Drosophila melanogaster: one gene and its partners. The protein of the gene in region 3 interacts with the protein of the main gene of each other region in a pairwise test. Each region holds a gene or a part of one and is shown on either strand. Other genes may lie near its edges.

The links.
Region 1: the proteins of betaTub85D (region 3) and CG42659 interact in a two-hybrid assay, tested with the Drosophila melanogaster proteins (one large-scale study listed by BioGRID).
Region 2: the proteins of betaTub85D (region 3) and PGRP-LB interact in a two-hybrid assay, tested with the Drosophila melanogaster proteins (one large-scale study listed by BioGRID).
Region 4: the proteins of betaTub85D (region 3) and CG13707 interact in a two-hybrid assay, tested with the Drosophila melanogaster proteins (one large-scale study listed by BioGRID).

Annotation. Positions count from the first base shown.
Region 1 is NT_033779.5:18,004,552-18,008,739, reverse strand, and holds CG42659 (uncharacterized protein), read right to left. Parts: upstream 1,381-4,188; 5' UTR 1,247-1,380; intron 1,193-1,246; 5' UTR 1,173-1,192; coding exon 1,023-1,172; 3' UTR 898-1,022; downstream 1-897. Other genes in the region: CG42635 (uncharacterized protein), read right to left, coding at 1-312; CG42634 (uncharacterized protein), read right to left, coding at 402-746; CG5693 (uncharacterized protein), read right to left, coding at 1,739-1,957.
Region 2 is NT_033777.3:11,456,834-11,463,273, reverse strand, and holds the start of PGRP-LB (peptidoglycan recognition protein LB), read left to right. Parts: upstream 1-2,721; coding exon 2,722-2,827; intron 2,828-5,253; exon of another isoform or gene 5,254-5,651; coding exon of another isoform or gene 5,652-5,688; intron 5,689-6,440. UniProt on the Drosophila melanogaster protein: N-acetylmuramyl-L-alanine amidase involved in innate immunity by degrading bacterial peptidoglycans (PGN). Probably plays a scavenger role by digesting biologically active PGN into biologically inactive fragments. Has no direct bacteriolytic activity.
Region 3 is NT_033777.3:9,407,384-9,413,471, reverse strand, and holds betaTub85D (beta-Tubulin at 85D), read left to right. Parts: upstream 1-3,189; 5' UTR 3,190-3,419; coding exon 3,420-3,812; intron 3,813-3,871; coding exon 3,872-4,819; 3' UTR 4,820-5,089; downstream 5,090-6,088. Other genes in the region: alpha-Man-IIa (alpha-Mannosidase class II a), read right to left, coding at 82-611, 665-778; Task7 (TWIK-related acid-sensitive K[+] channel 7), read left to right, coding at 1,455-1,584, 1,648-1,803, 1,870-1,931, 1,986-2,386, 2,442-2,715; CG44261 (uncharacterized protein), read left to right, coding at 5,327-5,623; CG8135 (uncharacterized protein), read right to left, coding at 5,763-6,088. UniProt on the Drosophila melanogaster protein: Tubulin is the major constituent of microtubules, a cylinder consisting of laterally associated linear protofilaments composed of alpha- and beta-tubulin heterodimers.
Region 4 is NT_037436.4:4,836,166-4,842,504, reverse strand, and holds CG13707 (uncharacterized protein), read left to right. Parts: upstream 1-2,396; 5' UTR 2,397-2,604; coding exon 2,605-2,727; exon of another isoform or gene 2,728-3,581; intron 3,582-3,666; exon of another isoform or gene 3,667-3,942; intron 3,943-4,057; coding exon 4,058-4,426; 3' UTR 4,427-4,714; downstream 4,715-6,339.

The DNA of each region.
Region 1 (4,188 bases), on a different chromosome or scaffold from region 3:
CTTGGAGGAGCCCTCGGAATTATGTTCACTGCCAAACTTAGGAAGCAATGGTCCTACAAAGGCACATGCCTTGCCTCCAATACTTTGTACCACGGAGCAGGCGCCATCCATGCGATCGCCCTCTACTAGAGGAGTTTCGCCCTCGACGGCGGACAGCTGATCCGCCACTGGACCACCGCGCCTCACAAGGTCAGCGATCGGATCACGGGTTTGGTTTAACACCCTGCCACCCACTTCAGTTAACGAACGGGAAACTACCATAAACAGGGCCACTATGCCCGCAACTCCGATGGCCGTGTGAACCATTTCCATATCTTGGGCAAAGGAGCAGGATCTTCTGGAGGATCAGGAGGGTCGATGTCGGATTTTTCGATCGACCACGATGACAAATAATTCTAGGGCTACTCTCCAGCCATCGCCGAGATGGTATTATAGGTCGAACGGGCCAAGTTTCGGATACTTCGCGAAATTTCATTTATCAGGTAGTTAATGTCATCCGAACTGACCACCTGCTCCTGGTCGACATGGTGCTCCGGCGTTGAATCGTTTACAATCAAGACTATTTTACGAACGGGCTGAATCATGCCGGATACATCGATCACGGGCTCCGACACATGGTGATCAACCAGAAATGCCTGATGCATGATGATCACCAATTGGCGGATTACTGGCACCACGCGATCGAGGACGTTGATTGCCATTGGGGCCAGTACGTGGTGTACCACGTGATCCACAGACGAGGACATGACCAAGAGACTTGAATTTTGAATTTAGAAAACTATTTTCACACAATTTGCGACCTGATAAACTAAAATTCCCAGGAGTTCTAATTTGAAATCTAAGCCATTTCGATTGGAATATTTATATTATTTCCCCAGCAATATTCAACAGTTTGGTGACGATGAATCAATTTTATTATTTCTCTACATAGATGTGTGCGAGGCTAATTGGTGTGCAGTTTCAAAGTTCAACTATATTTGTTCCCGCCGTTATTCTTGCATTTTATACAGGTACTCGTCTCGTCAATAGCTGCTATAGCAACGACTGTGCCAGCCACCGGGGGTGTATCCTTTGTAAATGTCGAAGTTGCACGGACATACTGCGCATCTCGGATAGGGGCCAATGTAGAAAGGGTTTATGGCCGGAGTCCAAGGACGACTTAAGTAAACCATTTTCAGCACTCGAAAGAAGTCTGCAAATCTTATTTTATAAATACATCTCCCACATTTTCTCTTTCGAAACTCACCGGAAATGGAAGAGAAAAATGAGAAATTTAAACAAATGTTTGACCAGAACAACACGTTTCGTGCTTGAAATTTGAATGAAGAAAATGCGTATGTACGCTTATGTGTTATTTTGTTGACATTTAAATCAAGAATGCTGGTTTAAATTTATTTGACTTCATTTTAGATAGATCATAAGAAAATGAATTAATTTTATCTGTATTTTTTATCCACAGTTATTTTGTGCTAAAATAGAAAAGAGCTGGTAATTTGAGGTTAATATATATTATTATTGTTTTTATTATTTATAGATATTCATTTTATTTATTTATTATTATTATTAATTTTTTTGAAATATAATGTTACAATATGACGGTTCGATGCCCAGGAGATGATGAGCTAAATGGGTTTAGCTCAAGATGTTTGAAGATATTAGCAACACACAACAAGGTTGTGTGTTCAGCACATCTCCAAAGGACTCCTGGTTCATTTTTGCAGCTTTGCCTTTTTCCCCACTACTTCTGTTCCCGGAGCTTCGGTTCTTTTTGGGCTTTCTGGTCCAGTGGTTGCTTCGCCGCGTCCTTGTTGGATTGTGGGGCGGGATTGCATCGGGGTAGTTGGGACTCCGGGCAAACTCCGCACTCCGGAACCGTGCAGTGGCCCTCCTCCAAGCAATCGGGGTCACAGCAGGGCGGATCGGGTCCAATGTAGCCCGGATTAAATATGCAAGGCATGCTGCAGCACCTCCACTGAAAACGAAGGTCGAGGCAGATGGCAGTGGCAAATTGGGTCCCACTTTATAGATTTTGTGAATTTACATAGATGCTAACTGGGTGCAATTTTCGGGCCGAGTGAGGCTCATAAATGTTCTCATTTCCATGGGTATTGAAACACAATGGAACGGGTAACTAGATGCCCGAGTTGCGCAAATCTCTAAACAAAGCTAGTTAATTTCGTACTAGAATCGATGCGAATAGCTCCCACATTGAACTCTATCTCCCAAAATCCGAATCAAAGTCCAATCGCCCTTAAAATCACCGGTTAGTGCGTGCAGAACGCTTATAATTATTTCATAATCGGGCAACACTTCAGTTTTATGGTGACAAAAGCCAGCGGAAAGATAACTGCAACTGCAGGCCATCGAAACTGGGCCACAAATGGCTGCAGGCACAAATATGGAATTTAAGTTGAAATTAATGAATAATTAAGCTGCTTTGGGCAGACGCTCGCAGCGGAAGTACAGCATTTGCATAGCTAACACAATGAACTACATACGGCCGGACAAGACTTGGCCGTTCATAAATTAGATATGCAAATGTAAATGCGAATGGAAAACTAACGGCAATTCCTTTGTCAATTAATCAATCAATCAACGCAGCCGCTCGCTGCGATCCAGAAAGCGATGCGGAAATCACTTGTCCCACATATGTACCTCTGCCCCCGCCCAGAAACTCCATCCATCGCCATTTCCCCCTGGCCACTGCATCTAGCTGCATCTGGCTGCATCTCCATTCATCTACATCACGCATGCCAATTTGCCTCAGCACGGTTTTTGATTGCCCGCTAAGTTCGGAGCGTTGTGAGCCCCCATCGATGCTTATCCCCCGGTTTTAAGGCGATGGCAGAGTCATTAGCATCAAAGGGCCATGGTGATATGACCAGCGCTCCTGGCAGCTCATCTGCACTGTGGTCTTTGCAGTGACCCAAAGAGTTTGAACCGAAGTGCTTTGACTTGGGTTAATTTGTGGGCTTTCAGCTTGGAAAGTATAAAAGTTTCACATGCATTGTTCAAGCACACAAAATACCGACAAAAAGACCGAAAAGGGTTTATTTTAATTAAATTGGATGTGATAAATCGAAAATAGTGATGTTTATGATTGAGGTAGATAGCATAATTTTAGTCAACACTTTAAGCTTATCATTATCATTAAAATATAAATAATTTTTCGGATTCGACCCACTGTGCAGCGTTGTCGGCTTTCAATGTCGCCGGCTGCAGCCATCAAAGTCGTGTGCACTATTTGTGTAATTTATATTCAAAGCGTAACGCGGTGCGTCGACTGCGTGTGTAGGTGGGTGGGGAAATGGGCGGTAAGTGGGTGTTGGGGCGGAGTGCTAGGGGGACGGTTCACTTGGTGGTTTTGGGACCGGTCACTCCGAGCAAACGGACTCTAGTGCCACTGAACTAAGTGCAGTCACGCGAACTGCTTTTAAGTGGCATAAGCAGAAGAACCCAATTCCTGCATAACCAATGAAGTTAAATATATTAGCTTACTCATTTTATTGCTCAGTTCTATAGACTAATAGTTTGAAACTAATGTGCAAAATCAATTAATTATTAAGAGATTCGAATGAGAAGCTCCTGTAACAACACATAACTCTCAGTGTAACCCTTAGATAGAACCCATCCACACTGCGACATTGTCTATCCGACTTCCGTTTGTCGGACGTAGTTCTATTACTTCTTGGATTCCGTTTCTGTTTTTAATAACTCAAGTTCGAACCCAAGTAGGCACACTTGTGCCGTCGTTACTGTTTGAGAAATGTATTGGAGGCCTGACAAAGTGACCGGAAGATGATACTGCAATAAAAAATGAGCACCCACGCAGCGACATGGAACACCATAGAGTGTTTGGCTTGGAAATAGAAAACCAAGTGCTGGAAATGAACATGAACCATGTTTTATATGCTCTGTGAGTTGTTGGATTTTCACTACTCGTAGTTTTTCTTCTTTTTCGTTAGCCATTTATTTACAAATGAACAATATTTATGGCCTCTTTTTGAAAGAGTTGCGCGGTCTGTGTGTATATATTTTGGGTTCCTATGCGATGGGGCCAGACTTCCGTCACAGCCAAAACATGGAAACGATCTGTTCATACTGAACATACATAGTTGTGTCTATTATTTTGTGGTTTTATTTCGGTTTTATGCGCGGAGCGTACCAAACATCGATTATGAATTACAA
Region 2 (6,440 bases), 2.0 Mb from region 3:
ATCCATCAAGAGGGCGGCCCAGCAATCTGTCAGTGGGGCGGGATTGCAAATGACCACACTCGCAAAATGTACTTGCGAAATCCAAGCGAAATATATGGTTCATGTGGTTCAAAATATAGCGAATGAAATAACAATTTAAAACTGGTTGACTTTATGCCCACATAGATCCCAAGTTGTATTGAATGTGCCACAATAAAGCTTAGTTTTATAAATCTTGAAATCTACTTGGACTTGTTATGTTGCCACAATCGATAGGCAAGGAATTAAACTTAAGCTCAAAAGGTCTAGTTAATACTATATGTATAGTGTATAAATTGCAATTACCTGCCATCTATACCATCTATATATTAGTTTATAGCCACTTTCGAAATGTCTCAACCTCGAAAGCCACTAAACTTTATTTGCGCGAAACACTCTACTAGCTTGCAATATTTTTAAGTGCAAAAGTTTGCGGCAGCAGGGGCAGAGTGACTGAGCTAATTTCCCAAAGATTTATGGCCAGCACGAAGCGCATTGATATATGCCAAATTGTTTACAAATTGATTGCATTATTAATAATGCCCACCGAGGGCCGATCAAAGCCTCTTTCGTTCTCATTCCGAATTCAATCGAAAATGTCAGCGGACAAGGTGCGTGGGGCAGCTGGGGGAAGCTGTGGATTTTGGGGCGCGTAAAATGTAAAATATTCCAACAAAGTACTCCTTATGTCATATGACAGACGACAAACTTTGGCAATAAATCAAACAACAGGCGACGAGCGCTGTTTGTAGGCGGTACAGCTTCAGCTGAATGCGGTTCAGCTCAGCTCAGTTCAGTTCACTTCGGTTTTAGCCTTCTGTGCGGGCATACAAAAGTGGGCGGTTGAGGAGGGGGTGGGGCGTGGCAAGAGAGGCACACGTGGAATACAGAAGCAGTGAAATGCCAAGATGCCACCGCTGTATAGACTTAATACACTTTCGGCACACACAAATTCACTTCCTTAATTGAAATTTTAATTTGAATACTTTGGCAAAGTTTTGGCCGACAGCCAGCTAGCGAGTGAGACAGCTCAGGCAGCAATAACAAACAGCCAAAAAGTCGCCGAAATCCAAATTCCCCGCCACCCATTTCAGGACCAATACCCCCCACCCAGCCCCTTACACAATTTCGCCCCGCGGATCCTTTGCGCTGGCAATCTCGCACAGGCTCAGCGAGTTTTCAATTTACGCGCCTCGCGAGTCGTTTGTCATTTTATGCGTCCTAATATATGGCATGTGCGTGCCGCTACAAGGATACCAGCAGCAGTATCCTTCGCCACCGCCTGGTATCCCCCCATGCTCAATTTTGAGGGGATACCAACCAGCAAGGCGTAACTAATCAGCACAGGCAATGATATGGCGACATCTGATGAATTGTTCGCACAGCCGAAGATTTCAATTGGGGGTGTTGGCATATACATATGTATATATATCTAAATGAATGTGCACGCAGAGAAAATTAATGTATCACTTACTATCACGATCGAAAAGCACTCCATTAAGTCCAAATCTGATGCCAAAATTAAATAAGGTCAGTTACTTTAAAATGAAAAAAAAACCCCCAACGTTATCTTTCAGCCGACGGGGAAGAGAAAAAAAAAAACCCGGCCCTTGAATTCGTATCATTAAATTACTACTTCTCATTATTGCCTGATATTCACAGTTGGCTCTCGGGAGCCATTTATAACGATTGCGATTATTCCGATAGGGAAAATGAAATATTGAAAACAGATAGGACGGCCAGTCAGTATCCGCGTGGAAATTATAGTGTGTTTCACTTTGCGCTATAGATAGATATAGATAGACTCTCCCACTTGCATGGCCAACGCCATCAAAGAGTTTTCATTGTGGCCCCGGGGATTCCCAGACGAGTGCAATTACTTTTGTTAATTGTAATACACACAACCCCAACCAACCAACCAACGCAGAGACACCCGTTTATTTGTCTAATGTGCGAGAGTGTAAAGCTTCTGGCTCGATAATGTTTACCTGGGTGAATACCCCACCACCACCTGGAGCTGGAGCTGGTGCTGGGGGGGGGGGGGTTATAAAAGAAGGCCTGTGATTTTGCGTGTGATTTTTGCCCCCCCTCGAAATTTTTTACTGGGAGAGCGTGCCAAGGCGTAGTTAGTGAGCGGCACTTAATACCCTGATAAGATGTGCGATTAGCGGGCAGCCAGTCGAATGGTAAGTTATGAGCACAATGGTCAGCGCTTCCAGCTGCCAAAAGTCGAATGCGCAATGCTCTAACCGGGGATTTTCGATCGGTGATAATTCAATTGATTTTTATCGCATATTAATTGTATACCCGATTTATTTGGGGGATTTTTGTAGGACTTAATGCATTTTCTAAACAAACATCTCGTATTAATGAGTACAGATATATACGAAACATTTTTCGCTGTGTGTTTATCTGATTTGCACACCTGGGTCGTTAAAATATATTTATTAGCATTGTATATCCACCTGCTTGGGCCCATCAAATTGACGACCCCATGCACACGAAAATAATTGTTAAACGTATTTATTTTTCATTTAACCTGCGGATTTAAGAACTTCCAAGTGGTGGACCTCTCGAAGAAAGAAGAGCAACTCAAGATTACAAGACCTAATCAACGGTCCCCTTGTTGCCAACGAACATAGAAAACTGCCTCTAAGACTTCGGACTTCATTTCAGTTAGCGTCAAAGACATTGGCAAACAACATGGGCGACAAGGTGTCTGGATCCGTCTCCACTTCTGGCCCAACTTCCTTGGCAATCCTCATGGACTCGGAGCAATTGGAGCAGCAACAGCTGGCCACAAGTTGTGGTAAGTAGCGCCGCAACTATTTTGCTGCTGAAAACAATTCAACAATTTCCAAGAGCGTTTGAGAGAAATTTCCCCTTTTTGAAGTGTAATAAATATTCCAATGCTGGGCGAAGGGGGGGGGGCGGTGTGGTCTGCGTGTTTACCTTGCCACAAGTATAAACAGCAAATAAAATAAGACAAGTAGAGGTTGGAGGAGAAAATGAGTCCGGTGATTTGGACTTCCTTTGGACGAGGCGCCAGAACGCATCTGGCGGTTATCCCCCGAAATTTTCGACTCGAAAAACCTGTGTGCACACAAAGAAAAAAAAACTAATTCAGATTAAGAGCGAGATGAAGATGAAGATGGAATGTGCTTGTTCGCCATAAATCGACGACGGAAAATAAAACGCTGTTAATTTGTCTAGCCATCCGATCTCGGCACTCCGACTAAAGCAATTTAATACCAGCCGCATTTGCAGCGGGATTCCCCCAAAAAAATCAAAGCGATCCCACCAAGGGGCATCCCCGATTCGAAAATACAACAAAAACAAAAATTAAATCACACGAATACATATTATAAAAGAGTATGTCCGGTGCCGGTGGTCAAAGAAAGCAAATGACACAGAGAACGACGGGGGCAGTGATGCTGTCACAGCAACCAGCCATAAAAAATCACGGTTTTGAGTTTTGGAATCGTAAACAACTGAAATCGTGCGAAAAGAATATCAGCTTTTATAGGAATATAATTTAAATAAGATATCATGTATCCTTACGTGTAAAACAAAGTAAACCCAAACTATTGAAACGATTCAAGTTGGTTCTTATAAAGGATTCAGACTAAAAGAATAATCTTTCCACTATGAACATAAAAAATGAGAATACATTTCAAAAATGAATTCAATTAAAAATCTGTATCTAAGTTAATATAAAGATTTCATTGAAATGGTTAATTTACATTTTTAAATAAGGAATTTCGTACGAAGAAATGTCACATCTGCGAGCTGTCAACCTTTGTTTTAACTCTAGTCTGTGACTATGTATTTAGATGGCATCAGCCGAATTTCCTGACTGCAAAAAATATTCAACAATTCAACTGTCACCTCCAGCTATGGAAATTGTTCGTTCATTTATCAAAACACAAGAAGTAAAACCGCAGATGTGAGCTCAAAAACGCAATATTACCATTTAAAAAAGAGATGGTTAAAGCAACGGATGACTCATAGATTTCATTTTGGGCGAATAACAGTGACATTAATAAATCGCCACAGGGAGATTCAAAAATAACGTAAACTTAGCCATTGGCAAATGCTAAGTTCAGTTCGCAGCTGTCTGATTATTTGCACAACCAAAGTCTTGAGAATTGGTTAAAAAAAAAAAAGTTCCCCATAGCTGATTTATGCCCTCGATAGAGGGTTCTTATCAGCAGCGACCTTCGAGAATGACCGATATTGAACTAGTTGAATGAGTGTCATTCTGATCCGTATGATCAGCGATCCGTATCACGGTAATCTAATCGTCACTTGCCAAAACAGTTGGGATTGTTAATCACTCACGCTTGTCGGAAGTTGTTATTGCGGGGCGTGAGTCGTGCCCTATAGTCTATGCAACGTTTTCAGTGATTAACCCTAATTGGTTATCTAAGTGTTGGGCCAAAGTGTAGTCATTTCGTGCACGCGAAGAAAAGTAACGATTTTGAAATAGGTTCACACATGAACAGTGGAACAGTAATCACTCAATGCAAAATAATCAAAGCTAATTTCAAACAAGTTGGTTTAAGTGAAAACGTTTGGCTGAATAAAGCAAATATTGTCTGGTGCCAATATTTTCTTTCTCTGCACGCGTATCTGTCATTTGGAATGTCGATTCAGAGTGACACGTGTGATAGCCCTCGTAGCCGCAGCGCTTGAAAAAGAACCCTTCGGATTGGCAAAAAAAAAAAAGTACCGGCGATCGGAGGAGGTAAAATGCGGTTGAATGGGGCCAATAAATTCGCGGCGGCATGGGTAATTCACCGCAAACGAGGCGCTAGTTCGATCATCGTATTAAATTTCCCTAAGGGCGACATCGTGACCTTAGCGCAACTCGCCGCCTGATAACAGCTTTATCAAACTCGGCTGCGACGTCAACGGCGGCAGCGGCAGCAGCAGAAGCAGCGGCGGTAGCCGCGACAGCGGCGGTAACCGTCGAGGCGCGGCAGCGGCGGCCAAAAGCTCACTCCGAGCGAAATCGAAATCAAAGAGCGAGCGGCGAGAGCGTTGGGGGGCCATAAGTTCGATGCGATTAGCCATTTGTTTGGCATTGCTCCCACGGCAGCGGCGGCGGTCACAGCAACAGCAATCGGAAGCAGCGACGCCAGCAGAGGCAGAAGCAGCAGCAGAGGCAGCAGCAGCAGTGCGAATTCGGTGTGTGAATTTTTCTATAAACTCCGGTCCGCCCTTATGCTGGCCAACATTCGCGCTTTATACGCTTGATACGAAGCATAACGCCGCTATGTGAGCGCTGCCGCACCAAAGTCTGACCTTCACACACTGTCGAAATTTTGCACAACTCTTGCCACAAAGCAAAAAAAAAATAAACGGTAGCAGTCAGCCAGCAAACAAACAACGCTGCAAGCAAACCAACAAACAAACAAAGAAACAAACAAACACAAAAATAAACAAACAAACAAGACAAGAAACAAACAGCGACTAGCAGTCGATACAAAAGTTCCTAAATCCAAGTCACAGTTCCTAAGCAGTTGGATTGCAGCAGCACTAACTTCGCAACAGCAGCAGCAACTTGGCAACAGCAGCAACATCGCAACAGCAGCAGCAACTTCGCAGCAACAGCAGCTAAAAGCAGCAACATGACAGCACTGGGATTAGTTCTGCTATCGATGATGGGTAAGTGCCGGGTGTTAGGGTGCTTTTCCTTATCGCCATGCCCCTGAGAACTTACCAATTGTGCAGATAGCACCCGGTATGGGAATGTGGGGCTATAAGATCGGGTTTTTTTTTTGAATTCCTGAGCGCCCAGCAAGTGCAATCTGCGTCAGCTGAGCGCACTGATAGCCCAGAGATAATATATGCATCGAACTGTGATAGGTGTTTCCATATATGTATGTATATATGTATATGTGCCGTATGCTGTCAGAAATGTGATTTTTTGTTTCAATTAATTACTGACATTTAACAAAATTGTCATTTACGGCCTGACAGGCAGGCAGCGAGCGAGTGAAATGGTTTTTGATTTTAATATTCATAATTATAATCGCACCCTAACCGCGAACGAGAGTTGCTCATTTAGCCAAAAAGTCAGCTTTCATGCACATAATAATAAACAATTTCAAAAAATGAAATAAACAAATTCCAAAATGTTCCCTGAGTTTTCAAGTCCAAAACGAAATGTAAGCACGTAATGTTCTAATTTCACGAAGGTGAATGAAAATACGTCACTATGTTTTGGTGAATAAAATAATAGAATAATCATGATTAATCAAATAATAATATAATAACAATTCCACTCTAAATGCATCCTTTAGATCCGTGTGTTCCTTGCGTATTTCAATCTTTAAAATAGTAGAATAAATTTCGAACTTAGTTCATCAGATGAAAATGGTTGCAAAAAATGTAGAGAACATATGTTTAGTACATTA
Region 3 (6,088 bases):
AAATGGCATTGCACTTTGTTTTGTGGGTTAACTACCGTTATTCATTATTGTATCAATACTATATAGGGAAAGCATGCTTACGACTTCATCTGCAGCTTTTTGTTCTCTCCCAAATCGTGATAGAACCGAGCAAAGTAGGAGATTTCCGCCCAGATGAACTTCATCTCGGGATTGTCGTGCAGATGCCGTAGTGCATTGGACAGGATGTGCTTGGTGTCGTGCTGGTAGTATTCCTCAAACGTCTGAATCCATCCAGGATCGTTGTGCGAGTGCGGCACAACGAAGACTTTTAGTTTGTGATGGGCGTTGTACTTCAGTGGATCGTACTTAATGTTCCAGCCCTGTTTCCACACGCCTCCATCTATGTCCTTGAAGGACATGCGATCGTATAGCTCCAGCATCTGTACATCCACATTGGGCACGTCTTGGACCACATCTTGGCATTGCCCTGGCCTCGGGGAACGAGCCACTTTAAGTGGAGGTCTTATTGGATCGTCGCGATTGGATGTTTCGGCAAGACGCGCCCTGAGATTCCGCATCTCCTCCCCGTGCTCCTGCAAACCATTTTCCAGCTCATGCAGCTTGTTCTCAATGTTCTCATAGTTGGGCTGCTAAAATAAAGAAGTTATTATACATTCGAATTGATTTAGAAGCATTTATTTACCTTTATCTGGGTGGCTGCCGGCGCCGCAAAATTGAGGATTATGTACAGGCTGAGGAAAACCAGCAGGCAGCCGGAGCAAATTACCAAAGCGAACCGCCGACGTATTCGCAACATTTTCCGGTTAATTAAGCATGGAAACGTCGACGTCAGAGACACAGCAGCCAACTGCAACAATCCAATCGGTTGGAACTTGCGTGGTTTTTTTTTAGCATAAACAAATCAGATCTGGCGATATGTTTGCTTTTCCCGAAAATCGATAGGCTGTCAAGTTATCGGCGCTGCTAACTGCAAAATGTTAAATTGTTAAAATGGCTTAGAAAGACAAAAACTTTAAAGGCAATTAAAGAAAATGTAATAAAACTCTTATGTTGTTTGTGTATATTGATCCTTTAAAAAAATTATTATTATCCTTAGTTATCGTGACATTACAGCTTTTTAGCTGTACAGAGTTAACAGATACCGCCAAGTGGCAACGCCATCAAATTCTGTTGCTTCTGTTGTGATAAACTAACGGTAAAATCACAATCCTTTATTGAGATTAACGGTCAAATCAATAGATAAAAGAAAACTTATTACATATTTAAAGAATGATGAAATTTTTAAAATTCATTGTATCATATGTTATTCGGCCACTGTAACCGAAATCAACCATTTTTGGCGGATGCTGTGTGTTTGTTTTGCTGACAACTATCGATTTTGTCAGACGCAGCATCTTTAACTGAACGAAAAAGGCGCGTGGTGCAAAATATATTAATTGATTATAGATCGTAGTGATTATATTTGAGACTATATGATGAAGCGACAGAATGTCCGTACCCTTTCCCTGGTGGTATGCACTTTCACCTATCTTTTAATTGGAGCCGCCGTGTTCGATTCCCTGGAGTCACCAACGGAGGCCAAAAGATGGGAATTCCTACAGAGTGAGAAGCTTGTTGATTTATTAACCTAATTTCTTAGTAATGAATTTATTTAATCAATTGTAGCCGTTAAGAACAACTTTGTTAGAAAGTACAATGTGACTGACGAGGATTTCCGTGTGATGGAAATCGTCATCATTGAAAATAAGCCCCACAAGGCCGGACCTCAGTGGAAATTCGCTGGAGCTTTCTATTTCAGCACGGTTGTACTGGCAATGATAGGTAAATTAATTATCTATTAAATATGATTTATTGAATAGATTATAATTCTGTTGTAACTTTCTTTAGGATATGGTCATTCTACGCCAGTTACAATTCCGGGAAAAGCATTTTGTATGGGCTATGCTATGGTAAGTGAACTTACAATCCCAATTTCCAGTCTTCTAAAGATATTCCCTTATTAGGTGGGCATCCCGCTGGGTCTGGTGATGTTCCAGTCTATCGGAGAACGTCTGAATAAGTTTGCATCCGTGATAATAAGGCGGGCAAAGAGAGCCAGTGGAGCTCGCTGTACGGATGCCACCGAAATGAATCTCATGTTGGCCACCGGAATGCTCTCCTCCATAATAATCACCACTGGAGCAGCAGTCTTTTCCCGATACGAGGGTTGGAGCTACTTCGATAGCTTCTACTATTGTTTTGTCACCTTGACGACAATTGGTTTCGGCGATTATGTGGCATTGCAGAACGACCAAGCTCTAACTAATAAGCCTGGCTATGTGGCGCTGAGCTTGGTCTTCATCCTATTCGGCTTGGCCGTGGTGGCCGCCAGTATCAATCTATTGGTGCTCCGATTCATGACCATGTGAGTCCATGTTCTATTGCAGGAAATATCTTATTTAATGGATTTTTAATCACAGGCAAGCAGAGGATGCCAAGAGAGATGAGCAGGATGCTCAGAACTTGGCTGGAAATGCCCAGCCGGTGACCTTCGATGATGAGTCCACGTACAATATGCACGGCAAGCTGCTGGAGAACAACTACACAACGGAGAACGATGAGACCGCCTCCCTGTGTTCCTGCACCTGCATGGGTGGCACCAGGTGCCTGAATCATGAGCAGTTCGTGGACCCGGACTTTCAGCCTACCGACATTATCGAGAGCACCTTGTGCCTGAAGCGAGCCTCCGTCTGATATCCGTACAGCCAGCTGTGGGACTCCTCATTGTAGGAGCCAGAGCCAATGGATCACCAAATCGTAGTTACAATCCTGTAGAGAACCATCCGCCGCCAAAATTTGGTTGTTAGACAAACCTTCCTCCCTACGTAGATTTTTAAACCAGGATGGGTCATAATACATATAAGTTTGGAGAGCAAGGTTAATAGTCTTTAAAAGGCAGTTTTTGCTTAAGAAATAATCGACCCATCCCATTATACACCCATATAAACATTTACAAAGGAGTAAAATCCAGGACATCCATGTCAATATCAATCGTATCATCTGGTCGGTAGCCTTGGAATCCTCTATTGCTTCCAAGGCACCGCCAAATCCATCCCATCTCGAATTTTAGCCGTATATTCGTTTATCTATGTAAGTACTATTAAAGTTTGTGCTCAAAACGGAGAACTGAGTTTTCTGAAATCGGGGTGTGTGAAATGTGTCGAAGTCGGAAATCGTAGTAGCCTATTTGTGAACATTCGGTGTAGTAATCCAAGCCAGGTTCAGTTCACCTCAGTATCAGCTAGCACGTACACGACTAAAATCTAAACCTGAAAAATTATACGTTTAAATATTCAGTCTTTTGCCGATTTTTGCCCCACTCAGACTGTTTTAAAAGCTCGATTTTTTTTTGTACCATTTTTTCGGTGTGAAAAAGGGGCCCTAACTTTACTATCAAAATGCGTGAAATTGTACACATTCAGGCCGGTCAATGCGGTAACCAGATCGGTGGTAAATTCTGGGAGGTAATCTCGGATGAGCACTGTATAGATGCGACCGGAACGTACTACGGCGATAGTGATCTCCAGCTGGAGCGCATCAATGTATACTACAATGAAGCCACCGGTGCCAAGTATGTGCCACGCGCAATTCTCGTGGACCTGGAGCCCGGCACCATGGATTCGGTTCGTTCTGGCGCCTTTGGCCAGATCTTCCGGCCGGACAATTTTGTGTTTGGCCAATCGGGAGCAGGCAACAACTGGGCCAAGGGTCATTACACCGAGGGTGCTGAACTGGTGGATTCCGTCTTGGATGTGGTGCGAAAGGAGTCCGAGGGATGCGATTGCCTTCAGGTAAGTTTTGGGGGTTTGGGAATTTATCTGAAAAAGTTTACCCTACTTTTCTCCAACAGGGCTTCCAGCTGACCCACTCGCTGGGTGGCGGCACTGGCTCCGGCATGGGAACCCTGCTGATCTCGAAGATCCGCGAGGAGTACCCGGACCGCATCATGAACACCTTCTCGGTGGTGCCCTCGCCCAAGGTGTCCGATACGGTGGTGGAGCCCTACAATGCCACCCTGAGTGTGCATCAGCTGGTGGAGAACACCGATGAGACGTACTGCATCGACAACGAGGCGTTGTATGACATCTGCTTCCGCACACTGAAGCTGACCACGCCCACCTACGGTGACCTGAACCATCTGGTTTCGGCCACCATGTCTGGTGTGACGACCTGCCTGCGCTTCCCTGGCCAGCTGAACGCTGATCTTCGCAAGCTGGCCGTGAACATGGTACCCTTCCCCCGGCTGCACTTCTTCATGCCCGGATTCGCACCGCTCACCTCGCGAGGATCGCAACAATACCGGGCCCTTACCGTTCCGGAGCTGACCCAGCAGATGTTCGATGCCAAGAACATGATGGCTGCGTGCGATCCGCGACATGGTCGCTATCTGACCGTCGCCGCCATCTTCCGTGGCCGCATGTCCATGAAGGAGGTGGACGAGCAGATGCTCAACATTCAGAACAAGAACAGCAGCTTCTTCGTGGAATGGATCCCGAATAACTGCAAGACAGCGGTGTGCGATATTCCGCCCAGAGGTCTCAAGATGTCGGCCACCTTCATTGGCAACTCCACCGCCATTCAGGAGCTATTCAAACGGGTTTCGGAGCAGTTCACCGCCATGTTCCGAAGGAAGGCCTTCTTGCATTGGTACACCGGCGAGGGAATGGACGAAATGGAATTCACAGAGGCCGAGAGCAACATGAACGACTTGGTTTCTGAATATCAGCAGTACCAGGAGGCGACTGCCGATGAGGAGGGCGAATTCGATGAAGACGAAGAGGGTGGCGGCGATGAATAATAGGATTAACTTCCCACTCAAGATCACACATGAACACCAAAACAGGCTAGCAGGGGAACCCATTAGGAAGGCACAACACATTGGATCTTTGGGCCTTAGCATATTGTGCTTCGAGGCCCGTCGGTTGTACATATTTCCTATATGGATTCTTCACTGTTCGATTATTTATCATTCACACACGTACAGAAGAAATATGTCCACCTTTGTTAAGCTCATGTTGCAATTGCTGTGATTTCTGGGTTACGAATAAATGTTGATTTATAAGCAGACAAGATTACCAACAGCATTTTGCATATTTTTATACCGTTCAAAAGGCATTGCATAAACCTAAACATTAATATATAAATATTCTGGATTGAATTGAATTTGAGGCTAAGCGCTCAATATCGAAAATCTATATTTTGTTGGCAATCATTTTTTAGAGTTGCCTTACGAAAGTGACAGCTTTCCTTTCTGACAGGCCGTCATCATTCAAGTCATTCAAGTCATTGAAGTCAAGGCACCAAGATGTATTTTCCGACTACTCCAGTTACCTCTCGCAGTGGCTATCTGCGCGGCCGAAAGCGCATAAATCCGCATCCCATATCGCAACTGCAGAGTGGAAAACCGACGTCGGAAGACGACCAGGATAGCACAAATGTTGATCTAGAAGAATCAATCAGCTCAAGCTACTCATCGGAGACGGACATCTCGATGAACGTGGAGGCGCAGGACACCAGCACGGATAGTGGTCTGGACACTAGCCAGGAGAGCAGCAACGAACCGCGCTACTCCCTTCGAAAGATGGATAAGAATCCTCTTTAGTGGTTTATTCAACTGAATGGTCTACATGGGTGTAAAGGAACAGCAGCAGCAGCAGTGGCATCGGGAAATACTTAAGCGCGAGCGAAATATTGAGATACTCGGTAACGAATTGAAATAAAGAGTTATCCATATCCAAAGTCTAGACATCGTCGAAGAGTCCTCGGGGTGGTGGGCCGACAATTCGACCATCTGTCTCCGCCTCGTAGTCGGGGTCTCGGAATCCCACCTGCACCTGAGTGCTCACACCGAAACGGTCGTTGATCTCCTCCGACAGGGATCGCGGTACGCCCAGTGCAGAGGAAGAAGCCACTGCCGCATAGTCAAAGCTGCCGTCGCCATCGCGCAGCAGCCCGTCGGCGGGCGTGCGACTACTGGTTAGTCCACCGGGTCCACCACTCCGGTATTTGCTCAAGTAATCGCTGCCCAGAACCTGATCGGTTCGGTTGAAGTCACGGCGTCTGGCCA
Region 4 (6,339 bases), on a different chromosome or scaffold from region 3:
TGTTTTTCGGCTTCGTATTTACCCTGTCAAGTGGTAAAACAAGTGAGAGTGATAAGAAGGGTTACTAAAATTGGGCGGCTGGTGAATACCCTCGTATAATGTTTTAAGCTAGAACTATTTTTCAATACAAAAGTTATAAGGTAAGGATAATTAAATATGTTTAAAGGAATGGATGAAACATGCTGGCAATTTCTGTGGCCTGATGTCAAATATACCCTTCCTCACTCTCTTCCTTAGGAATACCTAACACAGCGGTGCCCTAAAATGGTGTTGCATAGCAGCCACGCCCACAAGTTATAACTTGGTTCCGCCCCCAAATAAATCAAGCGGCTGTTGCAATTTTCTCGCAACTCCAAAGAGGGATATGCGTGATGTGGACGTGGGCGACTTCTCGTGCGGTTCAATCAGCTGCAATCTGCTTCGTCAGGATCAGCATCACCACTGGACCACATGCTGGTGACAAGGGCAGATCCACATCCAAGGTCTGGACGGAACACCTGTGTCGACTGGGAGCTGAATCCCTCACAGGTGTCCTGGCCAAAACACGCTCTGCCTGCTGATGGCTGATTCTGACAAGCTCAATTAGGGCGGGAGCACTCTAACCGGATTGAAATCCGGATTGCGATTGGGTGGCGGTAGTCCGAGAACACTGTTTTCGGATATAATGGGGCAAAAAAGAAACCGTTTAAATTAATTGCAGTTTTAAGCAGATTGAAAGTTGTTAAACAGCGAGCCAACGAGCTTACAGTCCGCAGTTGGCTTCGAAGTTTTCCCACCCGCTGCACGCACATTGCACCGCACGCACACACACTGCGCTTAAGATGATAATCATGTTTACGTGGCGTAAGTTAAATTGCTAACGTAATGGACTAACAGCAGGTGAGGACGACTCGAGGATAGAAGGATTCACGGAGCAGGATCTGGTTCTGGGAACTCGAAGTGCATTGCGAAAAATGTATCCTGAATTAGTTTAGTTCGAATTGAAAATATGATATGCTTCACTTAAACTGTTAGGTAACTAAATTTAAATCGCAATAAAATATTTTAGAAAAATTATTACTATTACTTATATTTTATCCGCATTTTCTTGCAGTGCTCGAGCTGTTCTGGAGCAGTTCAGGTAGCTCATGCGTGCGCCGCTGTCAGCGGCACATTTTGGGCTCTTTCAAGTGGCCAACAACCGGGATGGCCCAGAAAGAGACCATTTGCTTGGTCGTGCCACCGGTTGGGGCAGGGATTGAATTGGAAGCTGGAAGGACGACGGATCGCAACGCTTCTGTGTGGTGTGCGCTTCATTGGACAACTGAATATGCAAATTGAATTGAGCGTATTATCGACAAGAAGGAGGCGGAGGAGCGTCGGCGAGGAGGGCGTGGCCCTTGCAGGTGAGCAGCCTCGACTTGGCCATCAACATAATCGCTCAAGCCAAGGGCTTTGGACGGGATTGCTATGGCAATGGCGATGGCGATGGCTATGACGTTGCCGAGATGGAATCGGTGCCCAGTGGGCCAAGATGGTGGCAAATGGTGCACAAAATTAAAATTTTAATGGCTAACTGCTGATGCTTGTTTGGCTTTCAGCAGAATGGGTTGTGGAAGGGAACTTCGATAAGGATGGTGATGGGGATGAAGCTGGGCCAAAGAAAAGCACGATTAAAGCCAAGTCAACGAGCAGCTCTAAAATCATTGCGGCTTGCATATGAATACGGGAAATGCTGCATACTTCGTGGCTACATTGGGAACTCAAGTGTTGCATACTATTACGATGGAAAAAATAGGGGAAAGAATGGTTGCATAATAACATTGCCTGCTACTAGGATGGCTCATAAATCTTTAATGCCTGTCTCGCTCCGCTTTGGGATAAAACGCGAGATGATGGAACCTCTTAAAAAAGCCTGTGTTCCAAGGTTTTACCCCACTTCGTAGCGTTTTATATTTTATGTCTAGTCCAAACCAAAAATTTAAAATAAGTAATGCCAATGTCAAAGACAAAAATGAATGTTTGTGGCTTCAAAATATATGTTCCATCGAATAAATTGTACAGCTGATATTTCGTTTTTCTATTGGTACCCTTCACCACCAAACACCGGAGACACCTCACTGGCCAGACACCACGGACCCAACGGACACAACGCACAGCCGGAAGCCAAATCCCGGGCTCCGAACCCTGGTACGTGGTCCGTGGTGCGGGATCCGTGGTTGTGGCCGCCGATTTTGAGATGTTTTTGAGTGGCTATGAGAAGTGGAACTGCACCAATTGTTCCTGCACTGCGAGTGTGTGTATGGGTATTGGTTGAGTGTGTGCCCACACAGATATACTCACACACTCAAGTGCCCGGCTGATTGACGCACGTAAACAATTTACTCATTGAAAGAAGAGGCTTCAGTCAACGGCGAGCGCTGTTCGCGAGCGGAATTCCGCGGCAACATGTAGAGCAGCAACAAAGGCAGCGAACGAAAAACTACAGAAAATAAATAAAAGGAAAACAACAAACACGAATTAGTGCTATATGTAAAAGTCCAAAAAACCACCCGAAAATTGGACAAGTGTCGCCGGCGGTGGGCAATCAAAAAATAAAACATTCAGGGCATCACAGATGCCGCGATGACGGAGCCAATTAGTGCGGCGGTGCAGCGGCGGAGGCAACTGCTCCGCAGCGTGGAAAGTTTGCGCGGTCGTGTTCGTCAAGTGCTAAAATGTGTTATTAATCTGCATATTGAGTTTTTGGTAATTGATCGACGAACCTCTTCCCTTTCTTTCCCTGTCCAAATTGTTTTTACCACACAAGCGTAATCCACTTGGCCGCAGAGTTACACTTTTGTTGCTGGTTTAAAGTGTTGCAAACACATTGACAGATTCTATATCTGGTATATATGTACAACTGTGCCTCTGTCTGTATAATCTCCTTCTTATCTGGCCTTTGTGCCACTTCTGTTATCGCTCCATCACTTTCGAAATATTATCTGTGCTTTCACAAACAATTCTGTTCATTTCGGCTTTCATTCTAAAAATAGCTCTTTTATTTGGATACAAAAATTAAATTGTAATGCATTAAGTAAGCTAGTAGCAGTAAAATTATCTTACCATTTTTACTAAATGCCGTCTTCAACTAGTCGTATACGTAATCTTCATAAAAGTAACGTCACATTTTTGCATGCTTTTCTTAATGAAAGCTTGTCAACAAACTCTTAGCATTTAGCTTAACAATGGTCAACCGACTATATCTCTTAACCCCTTTTAGCCATTGTAATTTGTTATCGCTATTTCTGCTGCCATTTCACCTGCTATCACCTGTTGTTCAACAATGCGCGACCGGCAACTCTGTTAACAGCTGCAGCAGCGATTTGGAACATGTTAATGCAATTATAGCCAGTTATTGGGAACGAAATGTTAGAATGTTGGACGGGTCAGAGAGGGTTGGGGGTGCGACGTGGGGGTAGTTGGGGACTGCAGTGATTACTAGCACCGCTAATTAGACAATGTCGGTTCGGCCATAGGCAAACGAACGGTTTCGCAATGCATGGCACAGTCATGGCCAGATGAATAAGTATAAAGTTATTTCCGCACAGGATGATTACCCGGTATTAATTGTCTAACTAAATATACAATCCAACTTCCCTAACTATTGTATTTTAACTACAATACATGGATAAACTATTTTTACAGCTTCTTCGTTTGATTTTAACTTTTGATAACTACCTTTTTGGTGTAGAGTGTTTGGGGTAGGGTTTACTTTTCACCCCTTCGAAACATGCACCCAACATGAGCTTAGTTGGCCGTGTTCCTAGGCTTGGCTAATTTGGCACTAATAGAGACGCTAGTGACGAGGCCTTTGGAAAGATATTAGAGCTGAAATCCGAGCCAACATCGCCGAATGAATGGCGCGAATAAGGGGGTCCGGAATGGCGACCTGGATGGGTGGATAGCTCAGCCGGCGGGAAAGTAAGGCTATCACTGACCGTAACGCCGTCACTGTCATTGTGTCATTGGATACCGCAGTGCAAATCGAGCAAAATAAGCGATTTCCCGCTAATCCAATTTCCACCTCACCTCGCAGGTGCTCGAATCCGATGTGGCAGCTTTGCTGGATGAGGTGCGCGAATTCAACGACGACCACGAGGAGATGCAGCGCCTGGACAGGATGATCGAGGCTCTGCGGGACTATAGCGGACCCACGATATGCCACGAGTGGCCCTATCCCCTTATCTTCAAAGGCACAATCGACGAGGCACATGTCGCACAAATACTCAATGCCAGCGAACTGGATTTGGATACGAAGTTGGTCAAGGTGTCCGGCGGAAGGAACTGCATCCATGTGGAATCCGATGTGGTCACAGCTCAAAGGCGCTCCAGATTGCTGTGGTTCTCCAGAAGAAGCAGGGGGAAACGAGCTGAGCGCTTAAAGGAACCTAATCCTGTAGTTTGAGCTTAGCTCTGAGATTGAAACTAGTCCGAAATGCATATGAACAAAGTATTGTAGCCCAAGCTATAATCTGCCATTACAAAAGAGCCGAACATATTTGAGTATAGTATAATTAAGAAAGACTGCGCTGAGATGTCATTAACCTCCTTTAATTGCAAATTATAAATTGACATCCTTAAGCACATAATTTTTGAAGAAGCATGACATGTTAAAAAAAAATATTTGAAATATCATATTCCATCTAAGTTAAGAACCTTGTGTGATTAATAAAACGATTTCACTTGAAAGTATATTTTCATTAAGCCAATTATTTAATTATCCCAACCGTCTCTCTAACTAAATACATCAGGGTAGCCATTAAATGACATACTTGGTTGGTAAATTGTTCATTTCTGGTTGTTTCATTTACTGCGGTCGCCTGCGAAGACAAAATTTCGATATTAGTCCCCACCGCAAACATCTTGTATTCATGATATTTGCGGTGGGGATGTACATTGATTTTGACAGAAAGCACATCGGCACAGCGGCAAATATCTGAGGTGAATATGACATTCGGGGATTCCCCGCTCCCAAATTGTAGTTTCCGTTTTCCACTGGTCAGCCGCAACAAGTTACCGCACCTAATTAAAACGATTTCACACGCAGCTTCTTAAAGGCTCGAAAGCAAAAGTGCAAACAACAAGTGCTTTTATGCGATGTTTTTATATTATACGCTGGCGCAGCTATATTAATTATAAATAAAACCAAAAGAGACAGGTCCAGAAACAATAATAAAACGCGTTTCACTTCCCATCAGCGAATGTGTGTGCGTATGTGGGTAAATTATTCATAACGGTATTATCAGCTTTTCTGCGCTCTGCTGTCTGATTAAATTGCTCGACCATCGCCGGGAAAAGTCCAAGGATGCCCGGGATGCTGGGTGAGTGGATAAGGTTGCGGGTTGGGCGAAAGTGGTGGACAGTTGGCAAGCTTTTCATGGGCACACGGGATCTACAGTGGATGGTAAAGTCTGGAATAGAATTACAAATAATATAAATAATTACTTGTATATGATAAGTGCTTCTTTTTCTATAAAACAATATAACTTTTTTAAATCAATTTAATATGTACTAATATGATAAATATCATTGGCCTTAGTTAAACTTATTGTAATGACTCAGACTGTGCCTAATAAGCGAGGTGTCCGTTTCTGTGTGGGTGTCCGTAAGCTGGCGCATTCTTTGTCTCTGTGTTGTGCGCGCAATTTATCAACTCGACCGGCTATCTTTGTCGCCCGTGTGCTGTCCTTGTCTCTCCCATGTTCCATGTTCTCTGACCCACACCCTCCCCCACCACCCCTTCGTCTGACCCATTCGGCCTGTGGTCAGGGACAATTGCAGCAGAGCGCTGTAATTATTAAAAAGTAAATAACAACAGCCACCGCACAGCGACAGCAGCAACAATCGCGATAATGAGCACAAGTGCAACAATGCACTTAGAACAATATCATTTTAAATGATAGCGATTAGGTAAATTGTCAATGGTAGACTAACTAAATCCGTATAACTAACCTCTGGTCTGTTTAATAAGCAACTTTATTGAATCGATAGGTTCTGTTTTTAGACCTATATTTCCTCCCGCCTATATTTTTCTGCAAGTGCATTCCAATGAAAACAAAAGTGAAATCGTTGCAGAAGATTGTCGCAGGGACAAAGGAAAGGCCAAAGGTTGAACTCTGCACTATCGAGCGCTGCTTTCCGCTCGATTCCCACTGCGCTCTTTATCTAGAGCAGCGGCAGGACAGTGAGCGTGGTCATTTTCCATTTTCGCCGCGCGAAAGCCTGCAAAATTAATGGCCAACAAGGACGTCAATGGCGGTGGAAGCACTGGCGGCCACAGCATCAGTAAACAGCGCTCAGAATAACAGTCGGTGCAGC